3 linked regions of the Arabidopsis thaliana genome follow. The protein of the gene in region 3 interacts with the protein of the main gene of each other region in a pairwise test. Each region holds a gene or a part of one and is shown on either strand. Other genes may lie near its edges.

Region 1 (9,069 bases), about 15 Mb from region 3:
CTACGGTGAACAACACTAACAAAGACGACGCTATTACTTGGTCTAGCACTACTTGAAATGGAATTAATGGGTTTCTCTTTCTCACCGTTAAGCTCTTCTAGTAATCTGAAGCATTCTTCTAGGTTTCGTTTTGCAATAGGGTTTAAGAACGTAAGAGAAACAGAAAATGTTTAAGAAAAGGAGTTACAATACCTTGAATCAGCAAAGAAGGATGTTTTGTCAATCTCGGGAACAACAAGAGTGAGGTTCAATAGCCTAGCAACAGTAACCATGTCACAAAACTGGAACAACAAGTATCAGGATTTGGATAAATTATTGAAATTAGACAAAGATCGAAAAAAAAATAGTTAATTAAGAAAGTGACGAACCACGATTCGCAGTTGATTTAGTCAGCCATTACAGGATACAAGTAGAATTTCATTGCTTTGGTTATGTACTGTAGGTAAAAAATCAATACTCTCGTTAAATTCTCAAGCTCCAAAGAAGACGCACATACAATTTTTTCGAAATTCTCACAAGTTGATATCACAATTTATAGATAGAGAATTTAGAAAACTCAAGACGAAAGTAACTAACTTGAGGGAAGAAGAGGAGGAGGAGGAGGCGGCAATTCACTGGCTCGAATTGAAGAGATAAAATCTAAAAAATCTGAAACCCTAATTTATATCTGACTGTCTCCGTCGTCCGGAGGCGAGAGTGTGTAAAGAAGAAGATAAAGCACGTTTGAGAATGGAACGACACCGTTTTGGATATATGTGATTTTTTTACTTTGCTCTTCTTTTAACTCCTTTTTCTGAAACTAAACTTCAAATGCTTATTTCCCGGAAAAACAGCCTCTTTCAACACATTTCGTTTGTTGTTGTAATTTATACTCTTTTAGATGATAGATATTAGTTCATATTTTTTAAATGTACTTCTAAACTAATATTAGTAGGATTAATAAAATTTGAACTTTAAATATTTTTTATATATTTTATAAATCCTCAGATAATCAATAATCATTTCTCGACTTTCATCTTTTTCTCAAATTCTCGACAATGGTTTCTTTATCCTCAAAAATCTGATCTGTCGTCGTACTATTCTTGTTCAGTTCAACTCAATCTATGCCGGAAAAGTGCACTTATCGCTTTACGCCAGAAATTTCATATTGGAAGAAAACGCTGATCTTCAACGTAAAATCGGCGAAGCTGGCGGCTACTTGGCGATGCCTCCAGATTTCAACTATAAACCGCGAAGAGAGGTATATAGTTGACTTAATTTCAATGGATTTTAGGTTACTCGTGTGAAATCTTTGAAGAACTAATTAAGATGGATAAGAGGCGAGAGTTGATAGTAATCTTTGACTTTAATTTCCGTATCTTTTAAGAATTGATTAGGTTTTTAGGTTTTTTAGGCTTGGTTACTCAAGATTTTGCATGATTGCTTGAATCACGATTGATTAGAGGCAAGAATTTTTGTGAATTGATAAAATCAGTACATTGTTTCATAGCAGTTGATGTGAAGTACATTTTTTGGCGGAAAAAATCATTTTTTCATTTTGTTGATTTAAGTATTTTCAAATAGAAGCAAAATAGTCATTAATAATTAAAAGATAATATCAATAAAAATGATTACATGGGAGGATAGTACTAAAAAAACATATTTTTGGAAAAACATTCTTAACAATTTCTCTATATCTAATACGTAAAAACATAGTTTTACATACGAAGTTAAAGATTTAGTTACGTAATTATATGAACAGTTAAAAGACGTGAACATATTAAAGAAAAAAATACTGAAAAAAGCTTTACAAATAGAACGAAGTTGACCTAATTTTGTTGATTATGTAGATTTATTTTCGTAAAAGTGACCTAATTTTGTTGATTCGTGCGTTGGAGTTAGTATATCTTTGTCGTTTGCATAGTATCATCGGCTTTAGGGATTGACTATGTTTATGTTTTTATTTTTGTAAGAGTAGTTACAAGAAAAACTTCATTCAACAAAACAACAAAGACAAATTTTTGTTGTCGCAATTTATACTCTTTGTAGCTGATTGAGTTTGCAAATACTTGCATTTTCCTTTCACATCATCTCTCAATCTCTGTTGGGTTCTTTCTCATTTTGCACTGAAAAGAAATAGAAAGCAGTTCACAGCTGTAGCCGCTTAAGATATCTTAATTTTTAAATTTCACAAGTGCATAGAGTACAATCATGCTTAACAATTTAACATTGCAAGATTAGTGCATTGAAAGTTGAAAACCATCACAATTCACAACATACAGACAACTCTGTTTCTTTGTCCCTTGAGCGCAAATACAACATTTTTGCTTTCTTTATTCAGCAAAATGCCACAGACGAGAACTTAGGTATAATTTCTATATACGTACTTAAGCCTGCATCGGTTTAGAGTGCAGTTTCAGCATCGGTTTCTACTTGCTTCTTAAGGAACTCCAGTACAGAGAGCCGCTGCATGCATGTTAAAATTACATTTGTCAGATAAAGTTTTACTGACATTCAGCAGCTTTGGATAAGATACAAATAAAAAGGGAGTCGTGCAAGAATCTTACCCGTTGCTCGAGAGCAGAATCTTCAGAGTCCAGTTTCAAAGATTCCAGCAGTCTCATGCCTTCCTTGAACCCATCTGTCGCTGCAACTTCATTTTGTAGAGTCCTGTCTATATCCGCAACTTTGGCTAAGGAAACAGCCACATCCAGAATCTACATAAAAAATGTAGAAATAACAAAAGAAATCAATTTCTACTTCCGGACAGACCTTTGCTTACTATATTTGAGTTCCAATTTCTCTAGGCAAGAAATCAAGTATAAAATAAGAAAACAAAGAGAAGATTTCCAACCAACAGAATAACCCAATTACAATGCACGTAAATCTAATTATATGTATCCAAAAGAGAGTAACTTTATCGCAGAGAATTAAATGACACCTCATCCAAGTATGTATACTGCAACGACAACACGTCAGTTACCTAAACCTCAGTTCAACCCAGGCAACAAAATAGCAATTGACTTGAATAAAATCTAGGAAACTATTTAGAGAATTTCTCTGAACATTCATGGTAAAGTAACAAATAAGTAAAATGAAAAGAGTGAACCAAGAAACCCGCTTGAACACATTGAGAACAAGTATACTATTTTCACTTTACATCGTATTTCAGATCCTTTGATCCACTAGCACCTTAAGTTAATCTCTATATCTTTTAATGCATTTGAATTCATTTTGCCTGGACCCAAATGAACACCAAGATGTAACAATCACATAAATAAACGCTTTCTGCCTAGAGAGTGAGAGATTACGATCTACAAAAGAGCCTTCACGAATGCTACAATAAGTCAATAACTTAGCTAACAACAGATATTTTTCTGCGAGACCTTGAAATGTATATGGCGACTAAGAGTAGCCAGTTCAGCTAACCAAACATTGGGACAAAACAAAGAAGAGCAAAAACAGAAAACTGTATGAGGGCACACTTACTTGTGAAGGAGCATTTGGGTGGTGCTTCATTGCATCACGTCTGACATTTAAAGCTCTATCATAATACGACCTTGCAGCTTGTAGATCTTCGTCATAATATTTTAGATCTCCTATTTTATTGAGTGAGACAGAAAGTGTATGTGTAATCTGCAAGTTAAGTTAAAATTGTAAGCAAAAAGGTAAAAAGTTTTCAACATCAAAATTTAACAAGAACCAATGTGCTATAACCTCCAAATCATTCAACGGCAGTTTCATAAGGAATTCAACACTCTCTTCAAAATGCTTGACTGCAGAGCTTGAGTCTCCCATCGCTCGGCTGCAACAACAACAAAAAATAATTTAACCATCAAACTTAAGTCCCGGAAAAAGAAAAAATTCAACACACCAAACAGAAGATCAAACATTTTGGCCAAAATAACACAGTTCAGGAGGAGAAAATGATTATGTATAAAGTAGGTTTTTCGAACCAAGCATGTACTGTTGCTTCTCCTTTCCATTTATTCTGAACGAGGTGATTGAACCACAGAGAAAGATGTATGCAAATGATAAGAGGATACAGAAAAATCTGAATATATGAATATATTTCCAGTCAATTGATGTAGACAGGGTCCATCTAGAAAACCAGAATCTAGTTCAAACGAGAAAGAAATTATTTTAGTATTTCCCAAAGTGCCATGCGCACTCTAAGCAAGATGAAAGCAACAACCAGTCGACTTGAGAAACTATCAATTGAGGAAACTGCCAAGGAAGGGCCACATACTTGAGAAACTCCAAATTAAAAAAAATCAATTTGAACAACAAAGTGGCTCAAGCGGGATCATAAAAGACCACATTGGTGACCACATTCGAAAGCACCGTTGTTTTCATAATCTTAATTGTTCACAGAAACTCGAGAATGGATACATCTTAGAAATAAACAACTTGGGATAAAAAAGAAGACAATATCATACCTACAGTCACCAAGCATGCCAAGGACTGCACCAAGCTGTGAACACAACTCTGGTGTATTGCCCTCCCTCCCTAGTTGATCCCGAATGTCCTCGGTACACATTGCCAACCTTGATTTAGCACTTTCATAATTTTGGGCACTAAATGCCTGCGCATACAAGTTGAATTAGAACAAGATCTCACAGCGGGACATCATAACAAATGTAAGTGGTGCAAAAGAGAATAATCCCATCGGTTAGGTCAACAAAATTTAGAGACAGAACTCACCCTCATAGCTTGTTGCACCAAGAAAGAACCTCTTTCCATGGAAACGTCAGCGTAAATCACTTTTTTGTTATCATTTTCGACCTCTTCTTTTTCTGTTCCATTGACGACAGATCTCTTAATTCTAGCATGGCCTTCAATAAATTGATCAACCATCTTCTGAAGGTTTTCATCAACTTCAATACTTTCAATGTCAGCACCGCATAGAGGGCAGTCCTTAAACCGTGTTAAGCATACTCTGCATTCAAGAAACCACAAAGTATAAGAAAAGTAGACCCAATCATGAGCCAAAAAAGAAATAAGCGGCCGAGCAACTATGGCTTACTTGCAGAACACATGTGTGCAAGGCACACATCTACTGCTCTCATATAGAAGTGCTTGACATAACATACAGCTAAAAGGCCCAAGCTTGAATGTTTGAGAGTCATAGCCAAAAGGGCACTTGGCAGGTACCGTTGCAGAATCAGTAGAGTCCTTATTCAAGTTTCCTTCTTGTTCAGGACATCCTTTACTCCCATTTTCGTCAGGACGAGCAGATTTAGAAAAAGGGCAACCAGAAGCCGTCGTTTCCCCTTGCTTTCGAGCAGAGGCATCGTCGGGACGAGCAGCTTTAGAAAAAGGACAACCAGAAGCGGTAATTTCGCCTTGTTTTCGAGTCGACCCATCGTCAGGACGAGCAGCTTTCGAGAACGGGCAAACAGAAGTCGTCGTCATTCGTGAAGGTAGCAACAACCCTACAACACCTCAAAAGGAAAATTCAAAACCTAAATTACTAAAATTGCTTCCTCAAGATGAAATTCGAAATTGATTCTCTAGCTAAACTATCAACAGCTGGAAATCGAACATAGAAGAAGCTAATTCAGAAGTAGCTCAACAGAGAGAGATGGAAAAAACCTGAATTGGATTGGATTGAGATTAGATTTGGAAATGTCTCTTTCGCTGCTTCTCTGCAATCAATCAATGATCGATTGATAGCTCTCTCTCTTCTTTTTTCTGTTTCCGATAAGTTTTTTTTTTTTTTTTTTTGTGCGTTGGAATTGGATGGTGTTTTGTTTTCTCTCAGTCAAACGAAAAATAGATATTACTAAATGGGCCTGCGGTTTTTGTAGCCTATTTAAGAATTTGGGTCACTAGTCAATTTAAGAAAACCGTTGTTCTGGATTATAAACTGGTTGGATTTTTAATATTAATCAGCTTTTTTTTTTTTTTCACTGAAGGTTTAGTTTTATTAAAATCCACATCACAATGGTTACAACCCATTAATGGCCCAAATGGCTACATCACTTAAAGATAAAATTTTGCTCAATACACGTGTCAAACACAAAGATACGTAGATGAAACGTGTTGCAAGAAAAGCTTGGAAACTTTCCGTCATCCTTCGCCGTTAATTACTCCGACTATTGTAAACACAATCGACGCCGGAAAAAGTTTAAGCATCGTTTTTTGTTGTTGCTTGTCACCGGAGAATGTTGAAACAGCTACAGGCAATCTTAATATGCTGGAAACAAGTCTTCTTTCATTACATTGAACATAATTACCGATGAAGATTTGTTGTAACCAAAGATCTGAAGAACCAGTTTGAGAACATCCAAGAGAAAAAGCAGCAAATCCACCCGATCTGGTCGGATTAGATATCCGCATAACCTCACTGGAAACCACCGGAAACATAAAACAAAACAAAACTCAAGGAGCTAGTTGGAGACCACCGTTGAACGAGAAATTGTTAGGTTGGCACCACCAAACATAGATCAGAGAGATTTTTAAAAGATAAACTAAAGAGGACTAAAAGAAATCGGCATAAAACCGATTCACGGCAGCGATTCACGGCAGATGAAAATACCAAGCCAGCCAAAACCGCTAATGGGAGCCGGATTTACTGGACGAAAGCCGACCATCGCCGCATACTAAGCCGGTGGATGTCGGGCTGAAGCCAATTGAACCAATTGGACGGCCTTATCGGAAAATTGTAACAGACGGTTTTTGATACTACTAATATTAATCAGCTAACATAAGTAAACAATTTTTAATATTCAAAAAAAAAAAAAAAAAAAAAAAAAATATATCCTCTTCCTTCTCTCTTAAAAACAAAAGCACCGCTTCAATTCCGCCGGCGTTGTGAGCCACCACGGTCATGACGTCGGTTTGGCTTTTTGGTTTATGTTCAGTTATGTCTCTTTAAGTTGTGGTTAAGGAGATTTCTGGGTTGGTTTCGATTTCGTTTCCTCCTCAATTTCTCTTATTAGATCTATAGTTTCGATTGGTGATTTTGCAAATTAGCGTGGTTTTCTTCTCTGACTAAATACTCCCTGGCCTAATCACGATCGCTCTATGCCACTCACTGTCGGTGTTGTGGTGATTCGGGTTGGGTGACCTAATTTTGGGTTTCCTCACACAGCTTCAACAATACGGATCTAGGGCGAAATCCGCCCAGATTTTGGGTTCTTTCTACCGGTTCAAGTCGCATAGTCGATATCTCCGGCCACGGCGTTCTCGACGGTCTCTGCATGTTTAGCTGAGTTTCCACCGTCTGCCATCCAAAGTATCCCAAGGTTTTTCTTCTGAAGATTTTTAATTATCAAGTAAGGCAAGAAGATCAAATTTTCTTAAAGTGGGTGTCTCAATCTCCGACGAAATCTCCGATGCCAGTTAATTTTCGATCTTGGTTTATTTGGTTAAAGAGAGAACTATGTTTATGTGTAAAATCATCAATCATGTTTTATTTTGTCTTTCTACGTCGTTTCCCCATGTCGGGGCTTAGTGTCGGGGTTTCATTCCTCGCCGGCTTGTGTACCGGAGGATTATATCCTGCCGGCTTTGTCGTCCCGTAATTCACTCGGGTTTATGTATCTGATATGGTTTGTGCTGATAATAAAATTAGCTTTGTGAAAAAAAAAAAAAAGTAAACAATCAATCCTTTAACCGTATCCGGTCGGATATTTTCTAAGAAATGGTTTAGTCACCAAAATGTCATAACCAGTTGAACCCATTCAAGTTCTGTAGTTTACATATATATATGGATACTATCTGATTGATATAAGATTATATAACTTAGGTGTTTTAGAAATTCAATTTCTTCTTATCATAAGAGAGTATGAAGCATTACAACATGCAAGAGGTTCAAATCGACATCTTAATCCGTTCAATTCCAATCAAATCATAAACTTTGAACTTGTCCTCTGGACTACGAAAGGTTGACTGCTTCACGGGTAAAACAGTGAACCCATCAGGATCAGTACATGTCTCAAGACCACACTCATGGCATAAAGATTCAACATCCAACTCCTGAAATATACAAACTTGACTTATGACATTTCAAGTTTACCAACAATACGAAAATAGAAAAAAAAGACAGGGAAATATTTAGTCATAGGGGTATTATCACCTTCATCTTCAGGTTCTGAGATAACCGCAAGAGAGGATAGGGTTGAAGCTTGTAGCAAACATTGTTTATGTATTGGACAGCCACTAATCGCATCTTTTACCATGAAAACATTAAGCAAATGATCAACATAATTGAACAATTTACTGCAAATATCATTCCATGTATAGCCACTTTATACACACCCATATATTTGAACAATTTACTGCAAATATCATTCCATGTAACTATATAATTGCTTTACCATACCGGTAATATTTTCTAGTACAAACTTATTCTATATCATCTTTCTCATGTTTATTTTCATTTCATATTGCATTAGCCGCTACCAATTAAAGTCCCACAAAGACTATCCCTGAGAGCTAGGACATAACTACATATTTATATCCATGCAAGCTCACCTCTCTAATATGATGTTCACTTATGCAATACTGCAAGTATGTCGCCTCAGAAGCTGTTCTACTTAAGAAGTTCTTGTAATTGCCCATCCGATATAATCTGGAAGAAAAAATTAAGAGAAAAGACAGGTATCATTATACTTCAATTCATATTTCCTAAATTTGTTCAAATTAAATAACTCATACGCAAATGATTGAACAGCATAAGACTACCTTAAAAGGTTTCGTACAAAACATATTTCCTTGGATTTTACCAAAGCAAAAGTCAACTTGCGAAACCATAAAGACAGCGGTTCCCCCTGCAGATCATAATCTCAACGATTTCTATCAATGGCAAAAAGAAGGTGACATGATAACAAATTAATAAGGAGAAAGAAACCAGAAAACAACCATCACTCCACTACTAGGATTGAGATGAAGCAGCACATAGAGTGAGCGGAACTCGGCTTCATTTTCGTAGATATAGTCCGGTTTTCTATTTGCATCATATATATTATACAAAGAGGTAAGAGTTTTTGCTAGCTGCTCCATGTTCAAGTGATGCATTGAGCTAATACTTGTACCACTACAACTTTGAAGCCTCTCGTGAGATATGACATGAAATTTTACCTG
Region 2 (9,313 bases), 2.2 Mb from region 3:
TTCACCTTCTGTGATGAGTTCCTCAATGAGTGTCTCGAATCAGAGGATGAAGATCTCAAGGTCACTGCACGCTGGACTCAAGGAATGATCGCAAGACTCGTGCTCTAATCATAAATTTAAAGGCTTTTCCATCATCACTACTCGTGCGTCTCTCTCTCTCTGTCGTCATTGTTTTGAGTAAAGGTTTCAAAGAATAGTTGCGGGTCTTCCTCTTTGCTCTGTCTAATGATGTTGGGATAGTGGTTAAGGGGGGTTTTGGGAAATTGTTTTGGGGCTATCTCTGTTTTGATGCTGCGTCTTATTTTTTACTCTGTAGAAGAAAAACAAAATCTTTTCTTTTTTTTTGGTGAATGGAATTATCCACTTATCGGTGGTCACTTTTTGAGTCAACTTTATGATTCTATGTTTCTTAACGTGAACAATTTCGACAGAATTTAGCAAACGATTAATTTGATGTAAAGGCTCATCATAACTCCGATGATCTACGTAAACACAAACTGCGAGGTATAAGAAATTCCGTTTATACAAAAGGTGCCAAATTTTCTTTAAAATAACGACGTTACATCATTACATGACACCAGTAGAAGCTAAAAGCCACCACATCATTACATGACACCAGTAGAAGCTAAAAGCCACCACATCAGGAGGAAGAGAAGGTATCGATAATGGTGGTGTGAAGTGGGTCACTAAGGTGAGTCGCCCAGTTGTTGAGCGGTCCTTTACCGGTTGCAGCCGCCTGAACCGCAAAACCCAAGAATCCAACCATGGCTAAACGAGCATGTTTGATCTCAGCTAGCTGAAGCTGAGCCTTCTTCACCGGGTCAGACGCTAGTCCTAACGGGTCAAAGAACTTGCCTCCTGGATACAAACGCTTCTCCGAGTCCAGTTCAGCGTTTCGTTGGAACTCAATGTAGCCGATCACTAACACTTCGATCCATATCAATGTCGAGATAGAGAACGGCAATGGCTGTCCTAAGTAAGATGATCCATCCACTAGCTCTACCTGGTAAATTAAAAATAAAACAATCAGACAGATGTCGAAACGCTAAACACAAACGCAAAAGTGACGAAAAGAAAAGAGGCGATACCTTGCCGGCGTCTTGCCAAGTAACACCGGTGAGCCATTCGACGGTGATAGCGCCAAGAGTGGCGAGCATTGCCCACCGACCGTGAATCAGCTCACATTCTCTGAATCTTTGTAGCCCGAAGACTTCACTATATGGCTGAAACGGCGTCGATTTGGGGTCCACCGCCTCGGTACGAGTCCCGATCACTTCTCCGTATAAGTTCTTGGCTAAGTTCTGGTCCAAGGAATCCAAATCGAATTGGAGATACTCCGCCGGTTTGCCTAAACCAAAAGGATCGAACCCGTAGTCCCCGACAAGTGAACCGTCGAGATATTCGGGTGATTTTGCGCCTGGGAACCATAGAGGCCGGTCTGAGATAACCGTCTTAGCCTTTTTGGGAGATGCTTTCTTGGTTCCGAATCCGAACCGGGCTGTGAACCGGCTTGAATTGGAGCTAATGTCGGAAACCACCCGGGTACCCATGATTGAAGAAGCAGCAGCGGCGGTTGAAGTGGCGGCCATCTCCGGCGTCGTTAGTTAGTTCTGTCGCGTTTGCGGTTTGTAACTTATCTGAAGCAAATGGCGTTTTTAAGTGGCGGTATGTGTGTGGGAGAGATCTCAGAGAACGAATCTTGACGGTTAGATGGAGAAACAAATCCATCTGACGGTAGGAAACAAAATCAGCCTTATCTATAAAAAGCTCGCGTTATCTATCCTGTCTGTCTTTTAGAGTTAGATGAGGCAAGCAAGCTGATTGGGCAAAAGAAGCTATTGACGAATCGCATAGCAACGCCACTTGTCACTTCAGCAGCACATGTCCACTTGTATAGTTGTATGCCTTGCATACTAAACAAATTCAAGAATATTGATAATCCGGTTAGGTTCGGTTACAATTGTCTCAAACCACAAAGGAAGTCTCTGTCTTGTAAAAATTCGAAGAAGGCTTCTCATTAAGAAAATATGATTACATGATCGCATCCGAGACAGTACAATAGACCAAGACAGGACAGCTAACTGTTGCGCAACCAAACAGCACACTCACAAGAAATTTAATAATACATTCAGGAAAATAAACCTCAGAAGCAGAGTCTCTAGATACTTCTGGAATCGATGATGATCCAGAAACAAGTAGAAACTTTGTCGACAGCACTCAATCAGATCCCCGTGAAAACGTTTTACATTAAGAAGAGAGCTGGAAACGGCCACTAGTTTTTTTTCTTCTCCATCCCTGCCAAAACACCAAAGACCATATGATTCTACAAATACTTAATACAGAAGAGAAAACCCGAGGAGTAACATCAACGAGGACTTACAAAGGCAATGTAATATAGGAAAGTCAGTCCAGCCAGGATAACAAACCCGATTTGGAACACATTGTACCTGAAATATAAAACCTCAATAAGACGCATCACGGATATAGCATATGACTGCTATATGTTATACCACTTCTACTTACTTGTAAAGGTACTTAATTCCTCTAAGGGACTGCAATGTGTGGCCAAATATCTCCTGGGCAGCAGTGGCTTGAGCGTAATATCCAAATGCAGTGGCACAAAATTGAATCACGCTGCATTTTAAATGAACCACATTACTCAGACTGTGAGGATTAACATGTAATTGTGAGGGTAGCAGCTGTATATTAAAAGTCTTGGTTTGACATCTAATAGAGTACAAAGGATACCCAAGTGCATGAGTAAAGTAACTATAAACTTCGATTCAGGCATTCGCCGGAAAGGAAATTAGTTTTAGTGATGGCATGAAAACACTGATAAGTTAATGTATGCACATAAACATGCTTGATCTAGATCCGTTTATCAGAGTGCACTTGATCCCAACAGATACAAAGGCAGAAGAAGAGACCAGAGAGACTTACCTGATTGAACAAAGAAGAATGAGGCCGACATTGAAGAGGAAAGAGTTCATTAGAGTAGCTCCCCATCTGAAATAAGTTGATATGGCCAATCAGCAATCAAGAGAAGGTAATGAATGACCTTGGAAAATAGCCAAATAATGTTGAAACCGGTTAGATGGATTACTTCATTGGATGAATGGTAATGAAGACCAGCTTCAAACCCAGCATCATTGCCCCAGCGATAACAGCAAGTAGAAGGTAGAAACAGAAGAAAGCAAAGGCAGCAGTGCCTAAAAGACCTGGAGATTTCCACACGTACCAGCATGGAGTCAGTTAGAAACAAAGAAGAAACCTTATACAGGATAACAAGGACAAAAGTATGAACTTACCCCAAACATCATCAAGCTTAATGAAAACCTCGTTAAGAAAAGGGGAGAGAGGAGGGTCGACGAGTAGATATATGATGATGTGTGCAACCCAAGCAATGGAAACGATCAATCTACAAAGACATTAAAAATTTGCCATTTAAAAAGACGCTTAGCTCGGGAGCTTAAGAGTGCAAACCTAAATATGCAAGAACTGTATGCATTATGCATGATTTATACAACATGTAACAAAAAAAAATGCAAAGGAGGTTTCTGCTTAGATGTACTAACCCTACGATTCCAAGAATAAACTTGGCCAAGTATCCGAGCACAGTGAAAGCCCATGCAGTTTCTGCCTGGAAAAAGGTACCAGGGAATAAAATAGTTGAACAAGAAAAATATTATAGTATAAGTTCTAAGATACACTCGTCTTACCTGCTCTCCTTGAGGATACATCTCTTCTAAGAGGTTCACATCTTCCTCCAATTGGAGCAACTCCTGCAGGGTTACCACATTCAATTATAGGATTGAGGGGACACAGCTTAAATCCACAACCAAGCAAAGAAAAGCTACCAATAAAGTCAATAACCAATTCTACTATCTCACTAGCTTTTCACTACAAGTTGTCATTCTCATAACTCCACAGACGACCAAAGCCTCTTTACACACAAGGGACCAGTATGAATAGGCAAACTTTCCAAGTTGCTACTTATGAAACAAAATTTAGATAAGATACTGAACCTTGAGATATATGAGGTACCTTTTCAACTGCTTTCACATTTTTCCGCCATTTCCTGCCCTTAGCACCACTTCTTTCTTCCTGATGAAGTCCATCAGCTGCTTTCTTTAGTTCTCTTGCCTTTTTACCTAGTTCGGTTGCCTCCTGTAATATATTTATGGAGTTAATCATGCAAGAGACAGAGGGATTGACTCAAGATCTAGAGAGATGCTTCCAGAGGAGAACAATAACCAGACCTTTATATATTGTGATCGAGTGATAACAGCCTTTGGTCGCCTGATGAATGCAGTGATAAGTCCTAATGGTAGACATGCAATACCAACACCACCAAATATCTAGAAATATTTGAGAGAACAATTAGTTATCAGATTTTTTTTACTGAAATGTATAAATCAAACATCTATTTACTTCAATGGATACAGAATTATATCTTGCCATGCATCTCATCTGTTGAGAGTTTGTGTTAGTCAATGAAGAATCAACAATATAAGACAGATTAAATCCTTTCAAAGCAAACAATGCACTTCTCAACATGAAAGAACAATGGTCATACCGTGAAAAGAACTGACCCAACAATTGTCGCAAGAGCAACAACATATTCTGGAAAAGTAGTACGCATAGTCCATGTTTTCTCAGATGTGGGATTAGCTGTAAATGCTGAGCACTGCATTGATAGCCAGAGACAGGAATATGTTAAATGCTGAAACTCTCTACGGCATAAATGACTCATGATATAAAAACTAATGCTAATGCTACATTCAAGAGGCAAACATACCTGGCGAGCAGTGTTACCTATGCATGGTTGAGTATTTGAAAACTGCCAGGAAGTAGGGAAAGTGGATGTGGCAGAAGCCAAATGCCTGACCGAGAAGTCCACCTTTCCAATGACACCTACATGATGAAGATGTTACCAATAATGTTAAGGTATTCCTAGCATATAAATGGATAAGATAGATATCTCAACCCAAGCCCTGATTGGGTAATTTAAAAGCCAAAATTAACATAAGAATGCAGTCAAATCATAGAGACCAACATCAGATTCATCCTTGCCACATGCTCACTAATGGATTCAATAACCACTCCAGCTAAACAAGTATAACCTCCAGACTATCGTCATTCGTCAATACAGAAAGACGCTGAATTTCAAGTCGACAAAAGAATTGAAAACAGAGGAACAACTAACCATATAAAATTCCAAGCACCAGAGCACAAACAACAGCCGTGGTAACTACCCAAATTAAGGCACTTTTTATCCTCTTTCCAAGAGTCCTGTGAAAAAACGAAAGAAAAAAAGCCCACAAATTGTCATCAGTATTCGATTAACTCAAAACTTACAACATAGAGATACTAAAATTTCATCAAGCTACGAACTTGTCCTGGTCGCCTTCATAGAAAAACATTGCGAAGGGGATGACAAAGAACACGAGAATAGCGTCCACGATATAAATAGCAAGCCAAAGATCCTTCATGGGCAAGGTGAGATTGCAAGCTCCATTGTATATAGCATGTCGACAAGCATGCCGATTGGCCACATCAGCCGGTAACATGAGAATCGAGATCATAGCAATAGAAAGGCCAAAAACAACGACGAATTTGGGGAAATAAGCCTGGTTTGCATCATCTGGATGCTGATAGTTGACGAGAAGATAGATGCTAGAGATGAATACGATGACGCAAACAACGATCGCGACAATCACGAGAGCGAGGTTGAAATCGCCCATCGTGTGCAATGTACAACGTCCCCAATTCGAGAGATTTCGATCCCGGAACGATTTGGAAGATGTAGCACCCAATTGCAAAGGCTAGGGTTTTCTAGGAGTTCAAATTTTGAAAATTGAATTTGGGGATTTTAGTAGATCTGGATTTCTTTCTTTTTTTCCCTCTCGAAAACCAGACGAGGGAAGAAGAAAGAGGACTGGGAGAGGATGAACATTCTTGTAAATTACGAAGCTACCCTCAACAATGTGCTCTCGTGCCTAATGGCTTTGGGTGTAAACGTAAATTGTTACTAGGTTTGGAGATTAGCTGTCCGAAGCAAATGATTCGGACAAAATATTTCAACTAATGAAAGACATCTGTAAGTAATAAACCAGTGACCAATTGTGTAAACCGGACACAATTTTAAAAACAAAAAATGTCTTCACACTTGGCTCCAAAAAACCAATTTAACGACTCTTCTGGCCAAAAGACGGTAACAGTACAAGTAGTTTGAGTAAATAAAATGATACACCTCCTATCGTGGCGAACCGAAGCTCTTCGGTCCCTTCGATCTCTGGAAAATCTCCCTCGGATACTCGGTTAAACCCTCCGGTTAACCACCCTAAGCTTTTGTACCCTTCTCCGTGGAGCTTTGATACAGCCGCCAACGACCTGAGAATGAGATTGAAAAGCAACACCATTTATAACAACCAAACCGAACCAAAGAGTTCAGTTTAATTTATACTATCCAAACCAAAAGATTCTATGATCAAATCGATTGATTAATAGTTTATTTAGTTTGATAAGTTTCTCTAAAATCTGGACTAAAACTGGCAATGATTAACCAAAATGCAACATATAAAGCTGGTACCTGAGTCCTTCACCGCACACGACGAGCACTTTACTCTCTTTGTCCGGGACAGCCTCCACAACACGGAGGGCGAATTCGTCATTGATCATGGTGAATCTCTGGCCCGTCCAAAGCCCAATATATCCCAAATGAATCCATTTCTTCAGCAACGTGATCGGCCCATTGTCTGGATCTTCCACGAACAGTGGCACGTGTAAGGAACCTTTCACGCGTGCCTTTTCTCTTTCCCAAGCCGGCCTCACGTCTAACAGTATATATCCCTCCGACGCCACAACCGCATTGGCTTCTTTGGGCTCCACCGCCCGTACCTTGCCGGAAAGTATCAGCTCTTTACCGGAAACGGCGGAGATCACTGGTAATCTGTATGATTGTCGGAGGCGTCGGTTTAGTACTACTGGTAGCTTGTGGATATGGTTTAGCTGAGGAAGAAGAACTGTCATCTTTAATTCTTTTGGATTTTCAGAGGAATTTAACCAATGATATTGTTCTTCAGATTTTTCATTTTAAGAACACCCCAAAACTTCTTACTTATTTCCATTTTAGGCCCTCAGATATTTCATAATTTGACTATCACCCTCGCTTAAAGTAAAGTAACAAACATATACTAGTGGGGTCAAATGTTAAATAATAAATATATAGGGCTACTAAGTGTAAATTTCCTCTCTTTGAAACGACACCGTGATTCTTAATTCTGATAAGGTTTGACTTTTGAGCTAGGTTTGCCGAACCAAAAACAGAACCGGTAAAGACCAAATAAAAGAACCGGTCGGGTATTTCTTGTATCTCGATAAATATTTCGAACCGGTACGGAATGATCCGCTAGAGTTTTTCCCATTGAAGAAGATCGAGTGAAATTCGAAGAGCGAATCAAAGAGGAAGAAGAAGAAGGAGGAGGTATAGCAATGGGGGTCGATTATTACAAGGTTCTTCAGGTGGATCGGAATGCGAAAGACGACGACTTGAAGAAAGCTTATCGCAAACTCGCCATGAAGTGGCATCCAGACAAGAACCCTAACAACAAAAAAGACGCCGAAGCCAAATTCAAGCAGATCTCCGAAGCTTACGATGTAAATTAACAAAATGCGTTTTCTCTTTTCAGAGAGATTCCCATCTTTTGCTTGAATTTGAGCAATTGTGTAGTTTGTCAATTCACTATGGTTACTTCTCTGGCAATTAAGTAATCTTGATTTGCTTGTAGAATTGTGTTTGATAGATTCCTTATGCTGTTGGATTTTGTAAGGTTTTGAGTGATCCTCAAAAGAGAGCCATCTATGATCAATATGGAGAAGAAGGTCTAACAAGCCAGGCTCCGCCTCCCGGAGCAGGCGGCGGGTTTTCGGATGGAGGGGCTTCGTTCCGGTTCAACGGTAGAAGCGCAGATGATATCTTCTCGGAGTTCTTTGGCTTCACAAGACCATTTGGTGACTCACGTGGTGCAGGTCCCTCTAATGGGTTCCGGTTCGCGGAAGACGTTTTCTCGTCAAATGTTGTTCCACCGAGGAAAGCTGCCCCTATTGAGAGACAACTTCCTTGTAGTTTGGAAGATCTCTACAAAGGAGTCAGTAAGAAGATGAAGATCTCTCGGGACGTCCTCGATTCAAGCGGGTCAGTTTTTTTTCAGCTACATTGTCATGAATTGAGTTTAAGAATCACCTTCTTATGGATTTAGTTCCAAAACATTGATTTGCTTAGGAATTTTTACCTTAAGGAGCTTTGGAGCTGGATAAATACATGAAAGATGTAGTGCTAGAAATTAGTCATTAGCCATTGGATAGATTATGTTGGACTCATTAGAGTTGTTTTTTTTGTAGCTATGATGTTGTTGTTATCGGTAATGCAAGTTGAAAGTGTATTCTTTGTTGCAATGCAGGAGACCCACAACAGTTGAGGAGATCTTGACGATAGAAATCAAGCCAGGGTGGAAGAAAGGGACGAAGATTACCTTCCCGGAGAAAGGAAACGAGCAGCGAGGAATCATACCATCAGATCTTGTATTCATAGTTGATGAGAAGCCACATGCGGTGTTCAAGCGAGACGGGAATGACCTTGTGATGACACAGAAGATCCCTCTTGTGGAAGCCCTCACGGGATACACTGCTCAGGTCTCGACTCTGGATGGAAGATCAGTAACGGTTCCAATTAACAACGTGATCAGCCCTTCTTATGAAGAGGTGGTGAAAGGTGAAGGCATGCCAATCCCTAAAGACCCATCAAAGAAAGGGAACTTGAGAATCAAGTTCACTGTTAAGTTCCCATCGAGGCTAACAACAGAGCAGAAATCTGGAATCAAACGAATGTTTTCGTCTTCCTAGTCTGTCTCTTTCTATCTTACTGCTACGTTTGATTTTCGGTTATGACTAGGTATGTGGTAGTGTGGGTCTTTGTTTGGGAGATTGTGAGGTTCTTGAACGATGTCGCATTGAGATTTCTCAACGTCCTTCAGAGCTTTTGGTTTGGGTTTGGGGTTTTACATTTTAGCATTTTTTTTTTTTTCGTTCTTTTAAATTTGTTATTAGATTGGGGGAAAAATAAAAAACTAAATAAAGATTCTTTGCTTCTTTAGTTTGTTTAGAGCTTTCAAATTTTCTAAATACATACAAGGAAAAAAATGTATGTGGCACTATGCCACTATGGCACCAGCTCCTGCATTCTTTTCTATTTCAGTTCAACTAAAACAATTCCTAAAATTATTTTGATAAAAAAAACATATTAATAAAACTT
Region 3 (6,149 bases):
AGAAATCTGCTTCTGTAGAGTCCAAATTGATGCAATTCACAAACAAAGATAGAAACTTTTTTCCATTTGTTAATATCACTGTTTCATTTGTTCTTCTGTGTTCAGGCAACATATTTGCATTTGGACTCTTCGTTTCACCAATGTGAGTTCTTCTTATTCACTTATTCGTTGTATGTATTAAACAGAGTTTTTCTTTGTCTATGGACTTGACTGTTTTTTCTTCTTTCAGGCCAACGTTTAGGAGGATCATGAGGAACAAATCGACGGAGCAATTCTCCGGTTTACCATACATTTACGCTCTCTTAAACTGCTTGATCTGCCTTTGGTATGGCACACCTTTCATATCACACAGCAATGCCATGCTTATGACTGTGAATTCCGTTGGAGCTACGTTTCAGCTTTGCTACATTATCCTCTTCATCATGCATACAGACAAGAAGAACAAGGTTTTTGGATTGTTTCTACTTCTTACTCACACAAACAAATTATTGTTTTTTTTTCTAACTCTAAATCAACATTTTGATCATGGCAGATGAAGATGCTTGGTTTGCTTTTTGTGGTGTTTGCTGTGGTTGGAGTGATTGTAGCTGGAAGTTTGCAGATACCTGACCAGCTCACACGGTGGTACTTTGTCGGGTTCTTGAGCTGCGGTTCTCTTGTTTCAATGTTTGCCTCGCCGTTGTTTGTTATTGTAAGTTCCCAAAAAATGTCAACAAATCTTTTCAAAATATATATGTAGCTTTCTTGATTGCCTGACTTGTTTGGTCTTTGCAGAACCTAGTGATTCGGACTAAGAGCGTTGAGTTTATGCCGTTTTATCTCTCGCTATCGACTTTCTTGATGAGTGCTTCCTTCCTTCTTTACGGGTTATTCAACAGCGATGCCTTTGTTTATGTAAGTTACTCAACAATATTTCCTATTGGAATCTCTGTTTTCTTTCATTAGATAGTACTAATTACAAAACTTGTTGTTTTTTTGGCCACTCAGACACCAAATGGAATAGGAACGATTCTTGGCATTGTGCAGCTGGCTTTGTACTGTTACTACCACAGGAATTCTATAGAAGAAGAAACAAAAGAGCCTTTGATTGTTTCTTACGTGTGAGGTTCGCGCAAAGAAGCAAATTTATAGTGGGGAAATTAAAAGAAACCAGAAAATGTGGTGACATCAAGATTCTTTGTTGTTGTTGTTATTGTTGTCTACTCTGTGTAGCTCATTGTGACTATCTACCGGCTTTCATTCTCTCATGGCGTGAAGATGTTTATTCTCTCTGCTTCTGTCATGATCGAAGGATGGAAGTCTTTTTCAGTTTTGATGGCTCAATTGCTGAAGATTATGTGAAGACACATGACAGATTCACTGGTGTACGTGGGTTTTGTTTTTGTGTGGTGGAAATCTCATGGTGGGTCGATAACGTTTGTCCATATATTGTTTGTTTTTTTTGAAGATTACTCTATTTTTTTGTTCATAAGATTTTTTTTCTTTGATATGGAAATCTCTGGTGGGTTGATTTGAAGACGTTTGTTAAGGATTATTCTATTTTGTCTGTTCATAAGATTTCCACTTTCTCTGTCCCTCCAAGCAATCAAAAAGACACACACACAAAAACCATCTAAGTTGGAGCAAATTGTCTGTTCATAAGATTGTGCTTTTCCTTTGTACCTCTAAGCAATCAATAACACACACAAAAAAAACAAAGGAAAGAAAATTTGCATCTACATCACTTAAGACATTGATACATACACATTTTTTTAGCGCTCTCAGAATCTGACCTTTAATTTCATTGTGGTTTATAACTTGTAGTACACGAAACTTCAAGAGACTTCCTTCTAGAGAAAATCACTGTCAAAGCAAATCTCTCAGAGTTGTTCTTACCACAGAACTCTGTTTTACCTACAAAAACAGCAATGACAAGAACTTATATCCATCTCTGACCAAAACCAAAAAACACTTTTGTTGTTAAATTTAGGTCAGGAGTAAATTAACACTCACTTTTTCTTGAAGCTGAGGATGATGACGCGGATGGCCACATTCATCATACAATATAAGGCCGCTAAACCGAGGCAATTCACATTTCTCACCCATCAGAATTGGTCGCTGCCAAACCGGATCAACCGCATTAAGACTCCTTTCTTTAACCGCAAGCAATGGTGGCTGCCGCCTTGTTTCCATCTCCATCCACTTCGCAGCAGAGCTCCAACAAAAAGAACCCATCAACGTTCTTTTCACTTTGCTCCACTTACATTTCCTCTTTTCCTCCATAGTCCTTGACCCAAACGCTGTTTCAGACGCCCACTCTGCGTCTGCTACTTGCTTCCCTCGAGAATTGCGGTTGAGAAACGCTGCGGCTATGCAGAGTAGCGTTACCGCAGCCGCTGTTCCGACCAAGATCACAACGGCTTCTTTCGTAGTTAGCTTCAGTTTCTCCTCCAACTTCCACAAGGCTTCCATTTTTTGCTAAATTTGGGGTCTTTTTTAGTAGTCTATCTTGAGAGCTAAGTATATAGGTGAAATTGGTGAGCTTCATGTGAATTCCACCGTTATAGATTTATTCATCATTATGGTATTTATAACCTATAGTTTCTATATACCCATCAATAAAATCTTTCATCTCACCTTGTTGATTCATTGTGTTGGGTATAGATATAAGTGGGGTATTAAATATATCCGTTGTAGTCTTCGTAACGCAAACTATATAAATTTATTGTGCATACGAAAAAAAATTAAATGTAACATTTGTTATTAGTCGTATGATTGTAACGTTTTGTATGATTGTAAGGTTTTGGAAAGTTGTGTAACCTTCCGTATTGTTTTTAAGTTGAGAGTTAATCAGGAAGGTAGTCAAAATTTTGGTTCAAGATTAGCAAAGAAATGAATGATCAAATTGTAATCAGGTAGGTAGTCAAATTTTGATTAATTTTTTTTTAAGATTTGAGGTTACTTGCATGATTTGTAGTATGGAATCTATATAGCTTGTAGGGACAGAAGGTTTTGATGAGATCACGAGCCATACAATGTCTATTCATGTTCTTGTTGGGTGGACCTAGTGGACCTTGTGGTACCACAAATTAAAGATGAAGGATCAAATTGAAACATCCAAAACATTTTGGTGCAAATTGAAACTCAGGTAGTATCATGGAGATATAATGTGTAAATACAAATTACTAAAAGGAGTAATTTAAAATATTACTATTAGTAAACGAAACCTCCGCTTTATCTACTTTTCCGGCGAATTGGAAGGGTTTTGATCTCCTTGAGCAAATCGGAGATTCTTTCTACAGTTGTGCGAACGTTCTTATAATAAGTTTTTAGTTGATCGATCTCCGATTTAGTGAACTAGGCGTCATCTTAAGAACCCTAATTTGTTTTCTCCGGTTGTGAAAACTTCTGTTGTTCGTCGTCGAAGGTCAGTTCGTGATTCTGAGTTTGTACACCTTTTCGTTTCCTCTGTTGGCACTCGAATTTTCCAGGAAGTGAAACTAGAATTTGATTCTGCGTAGTATTGAACATTAAGATAATGTCTGGAAGAAATCGTGGACCTCCTCCTCCATCAATGAAAGGTGGATCTTACAGTGGTTTACAAGCTCCGGTTCATCAACCGCCTTTCGTTAGAGGCTTAGGAGGAGGACCAGTGCCTCCTCCTCCTCATCCTTCTATGATTGATGATAGTAGAGAACCTCAATTTAGAGTAGATGCAAGAGGTCTTCCTCCACAATTTTCGATTCTGGAGGATCGTCTCGCTGCTCAGAATCAAGATGTTCAGGGCTTACTCGCTGATAACCAGAGACTGGCTGCGACTCATGTTGCGCTTAAACAGGAGTTAGAAGTTGCTCAGCATGAATTGCAAAGAATAATGCATTACATTGATTCCTTGAGAGCTGAGGAAGAGATTATGATGAGGGAGATGTATGATAAATCTATGCGATCCGAAATGGAATTGCGTGAAGTCGATGCTATGCGAGCTGAGATTCAAAAGATCCGTGCGGATATCAAAGAGTTTACTTCAGGTAGACAGGAACTAACGAGTCAGGTTCACCTGATGACTCAAGATTTAGCTAGACTTACAGCAGATTTGCAGCAGATACCAACGTTAACTGCAGAAATTGAGAACACAAAGCAAGAGCTGCAACGCGCAAGGTTTTGACCAGTCTCTTTTTTAAGATTTGCCTTTGTTCATATTGATGATAATGTGTATGTTAAGCTGTGATTTCTGTTTTGTAGAGCGGCTATTGATTATGAGAAGAAAGGGTACGCGGAAAACTACGAGCATGGCAAAATTATGGAGCATAAATTAGTTGCAATGGCTCGGGAACTGGAGAAGCTTCGAGCAGAGATTGCTAACTCAGAAACGAGTGCTTATGCTAATGGTCCTGTTGGGAATCCTGGTATGATAAACTTGAATAAGTGTAAACCTTTATAAGCAGTCACCACAATGCCTATTAAATGCACAAGTAGAAAGGAAAACTAATAACTAGCAATAGACAGTCGATCAACAGTTGAATGCATATAGCAATGTTAATCAAAAAACATGGTTTTGATCAGGTGGAGTTGCTTATGGTGGTGGATATGGAAATCCTGAGGCTGGGTATCCTGTGAATCCTTATCAACCCAACTATACCATGAATCCAGTAAGTTATAAAATTTTGACTTTTTATATTTTTTTACATTGCGTGTGCATAGTAGATGATATGTCTGAACGCACCATAATTCTCTCTACACAGTTTCACACTTTGTTTGAACTTTGAATTTAAACCGAATTTCAGTAGCCAATAGTACAGCCTAAAGTTCGAACAAGTCAATCTGATGTAAAACGGAACTGGCTTAATCGATTTATTAGACCAATCTAAGTCAACAATGTGAGCTGATGTCGATGAAACCTGTGACAGAATATGTAACTGAACAACATCTATCTTCATATATCTCCTATTCTTGTAGTTTTAGGTGCATACATTCATACACATGTAAAGTAATGTGCTGATATGATAACAATGCTGGTTCAGGCACAAACAGGCGTTGTTGGCTATTATCCTCCTCCTTACGGACCACAGGCTGCGTGGGCTGGTGGCTACGATCCGCAACAGCAACAGCAGCAGCAGCCGCCACCACAAGGACAAGGACATCGATGAAAAAGTCAAGATTCAAAGTCAAAGTCGCCCATTTTTCAAGCGACTCTCATGAAATTAAAGCAGCCTCCCTTTTGTATACTCTGATAGTCTCTGATAGATTGTGAACAAAGCCAACATATTAAAGTGTTGTTAAGTAAGAAACTTGGAAACCACAGTTTTTTTAATTTAAATAAGCCCATTAACATCTTCAATGGACCGAATAAAGGCCCATAAGAGACCACCTCCCTCGCTCTTTTTAACAATTGGCGGGTAAAATTCTAAAATTTTAGTTTCAGTTGATGAACCAAAAACAGAAGAAGAAGAAAATTAACGAAATTTTAAAATCGGAACAAATTTCAGAAATTTGGCGCACAAAGAAGTCAATTGGCGGGTAAATATCAATTTCTCATGCCTTTAATTTCTCCGAGATCTACGACTGTTCCATTCACACAAACCCAGAGATCTGAAACTAAGAAGCCATGGATGCTCAATATCAAGATCTACCTCCTCTCAAAAGATTAAGACTGTTGCAGAGAGATCTCGAAGCTGCTCAACAGCACCAGCTACCGAACCAACCGGAGATGAAGTCGTTGCAGTTGCCGGCAAAGAAGAGGAAGCAGACTCGTGTTGATTATGACGATGACGACGCAGAGAACTCCAATCCCACCTATCATTGTCTTCCGGCGAAGAAAAGGATCTGGGCGATTGATCCCGATCTTCTCTCCGGTGGTGGTAACCCCTTTTCGCCTTTTGATCTAAATGTAGAGTATAAGCCTTATGTTGAAGAGAAATCAATTGAGAAAAAGTCAACTCTAAATGTTGAATCTAGTCTAGAGGTAGAAGAAGATGATGATAAAGAGAATATAGATCCTCTAGGGAAAGGAAAAGCTTTAGATCTCTCTGATAGAGAAGTAGAAGATGAAGATGGGATTATGTGTGCTGTATGTCAAAGTACAGATGGTGATCCATTGAATCCAATTGTGTTCTGTGATGGTTGTGATTTGATGGTTCATGCTTCTTGCTATGGGAATCCTCTTGTTAAGG

Evidence for each region. The genes of interacting proteins can lie anywhere in the genome.
Region 1: the proteins of AT3G14760 (region 3) and AT3G54360 interact in a protein complementation assay, tested with the Arabidopsis thaliana proteins (one large-scale study listed by BioGRID).
Region 2: the proteins of AT3G14760 (region 3) and AT3G08930 interact in a protein complementation assay, tested with the Arabidopsis thaliana proteins (one large-scale study listed by BioGRID).

Annotation. Positions count from the first base shown.
Region 1 is NC_003074.8:20,126,188-20,135,256, forward strand, and holds AT3G54360 (zinc ion binding protein), read right to left. Parts: upstream 5,727-9,069; 5' UTR 5,575-5,726; intron 5,415-5,574; 5' UTR 5,395-5,414; coding exon 5,006-5,394; intron 4,919-5,005; coding exon 4,684-4,918; intron 4,565-4,683; coding exon 4,419-4,564; intron 3,785-4,418; coding exon 3,697-3,784; intron 3,616-3,696; coding exon 3,469-3,615; intron 2,697-3,468; coding exon 2,547-2,696; intron 2,446-2,546; coding exon 2,383-2,445; 3' UTR 2,367-2,382; exon of another isoform or gene 2,106-2,366; 3' UTR 1,940-2,105; downstream 1-1,939. Other genes in the region: AT3G54363 (uncharacterized protein), read right to left, coding at 6,052-6,348; SAC3C (SAC3/GANP/Nin1/mts3/eIF-3 p25 family), read right to left, coding at 7,798-7,962, 8,063-8,155, 8,461-8,557, 8,671-8,756, 8,848-9,066. UniProt on the Arabidopsis thaliana protein: Has holdase chaperone activity that may fold catalase to a functional structure. Not required for the peroxisome import of catalases. Required for the activity of catalases and acts mainly at the post-transcriptional level.
Region 2 is NC_003074.8:2,709,993-2,719,305, reverse strand, and holds AT3G08930 (LMBR1-like membrane protein), read right to left. Parts: upstream 5,995-9,313; 5' UTR 5,745-5,994; coding exon 5,395-5,744; intron 5,293-5,394; coding exon 5,207-5,292; intron 4,915-5,206; coding exon 4,799-4,914; intron 4,688-4,798; coding exon 4,577-4,687; intron 4,359-4,576; coding exon 4,260-4,358; intron 4,168-4,259; coding exon 4,045-4,167; intron 3,783-4,044; coding exon 3,720-3,782; intron 3,641-3,719; coding exon 3,576-3,640; intron 3,419-3,575; coding exon 3,309-3,418; intron 3,219-3,308; coding exon 3,104-3,218; intron 3,007-3,103; coding exon 2,941-3,006; intron 2,635-2,940; coding exon 2,524-2,634; intron 2,448-2,523; coding exon 2,381-2,447; intron 2,296-2,380; coding exon 2,248-2,295; 3' UTR 1,940-2,247; downstream 1-1,939. Other genes in the region: LHCB4.2 (light harvesting complex photosystem II), read right to left, coding at 641-1,003, 1,089-1,589; AT3G08920 (Rhodanese/Cell cycle control phosphatase superfamily protein), read right to left, coding at 6,189-6,393, 6,593-7,032; AT3G08910 (DNAJ heat shock family protein), read left to right, coding at 7,495-7,659, 7,833-8,197, 8,463-8,904.
Region 3 is NC_003074.8:4,952,742-4,958,890, reverse strand, and holds AT3G14760 (uncharacterized protein), read right to left. Parts: upstream 2,543-6,149; 5' UTR 2,452-2,542; coding exon 1,993-2,451; intron 1,894-1,992; coding exon 1,846-1,893; 3' UTR 1,585-1,845; downstream 1-1,584. Other genes in the region: SWEET2 (Nodulin MtN3 family protein), read left to right, coding at 106-142, 230-446, 533-691, 775-894, 988-1,104; AT3G14750 (structural maintenance of chromosomes domain protein), read left to right, coding at 3,518-4,137, 4,222-4,385, 4,543-4,628, 5,001-5,126; AT3G14740 (RING/FYVE/PHD zinc finger superfamily protein), read left to right, coding at 5,585-6,149.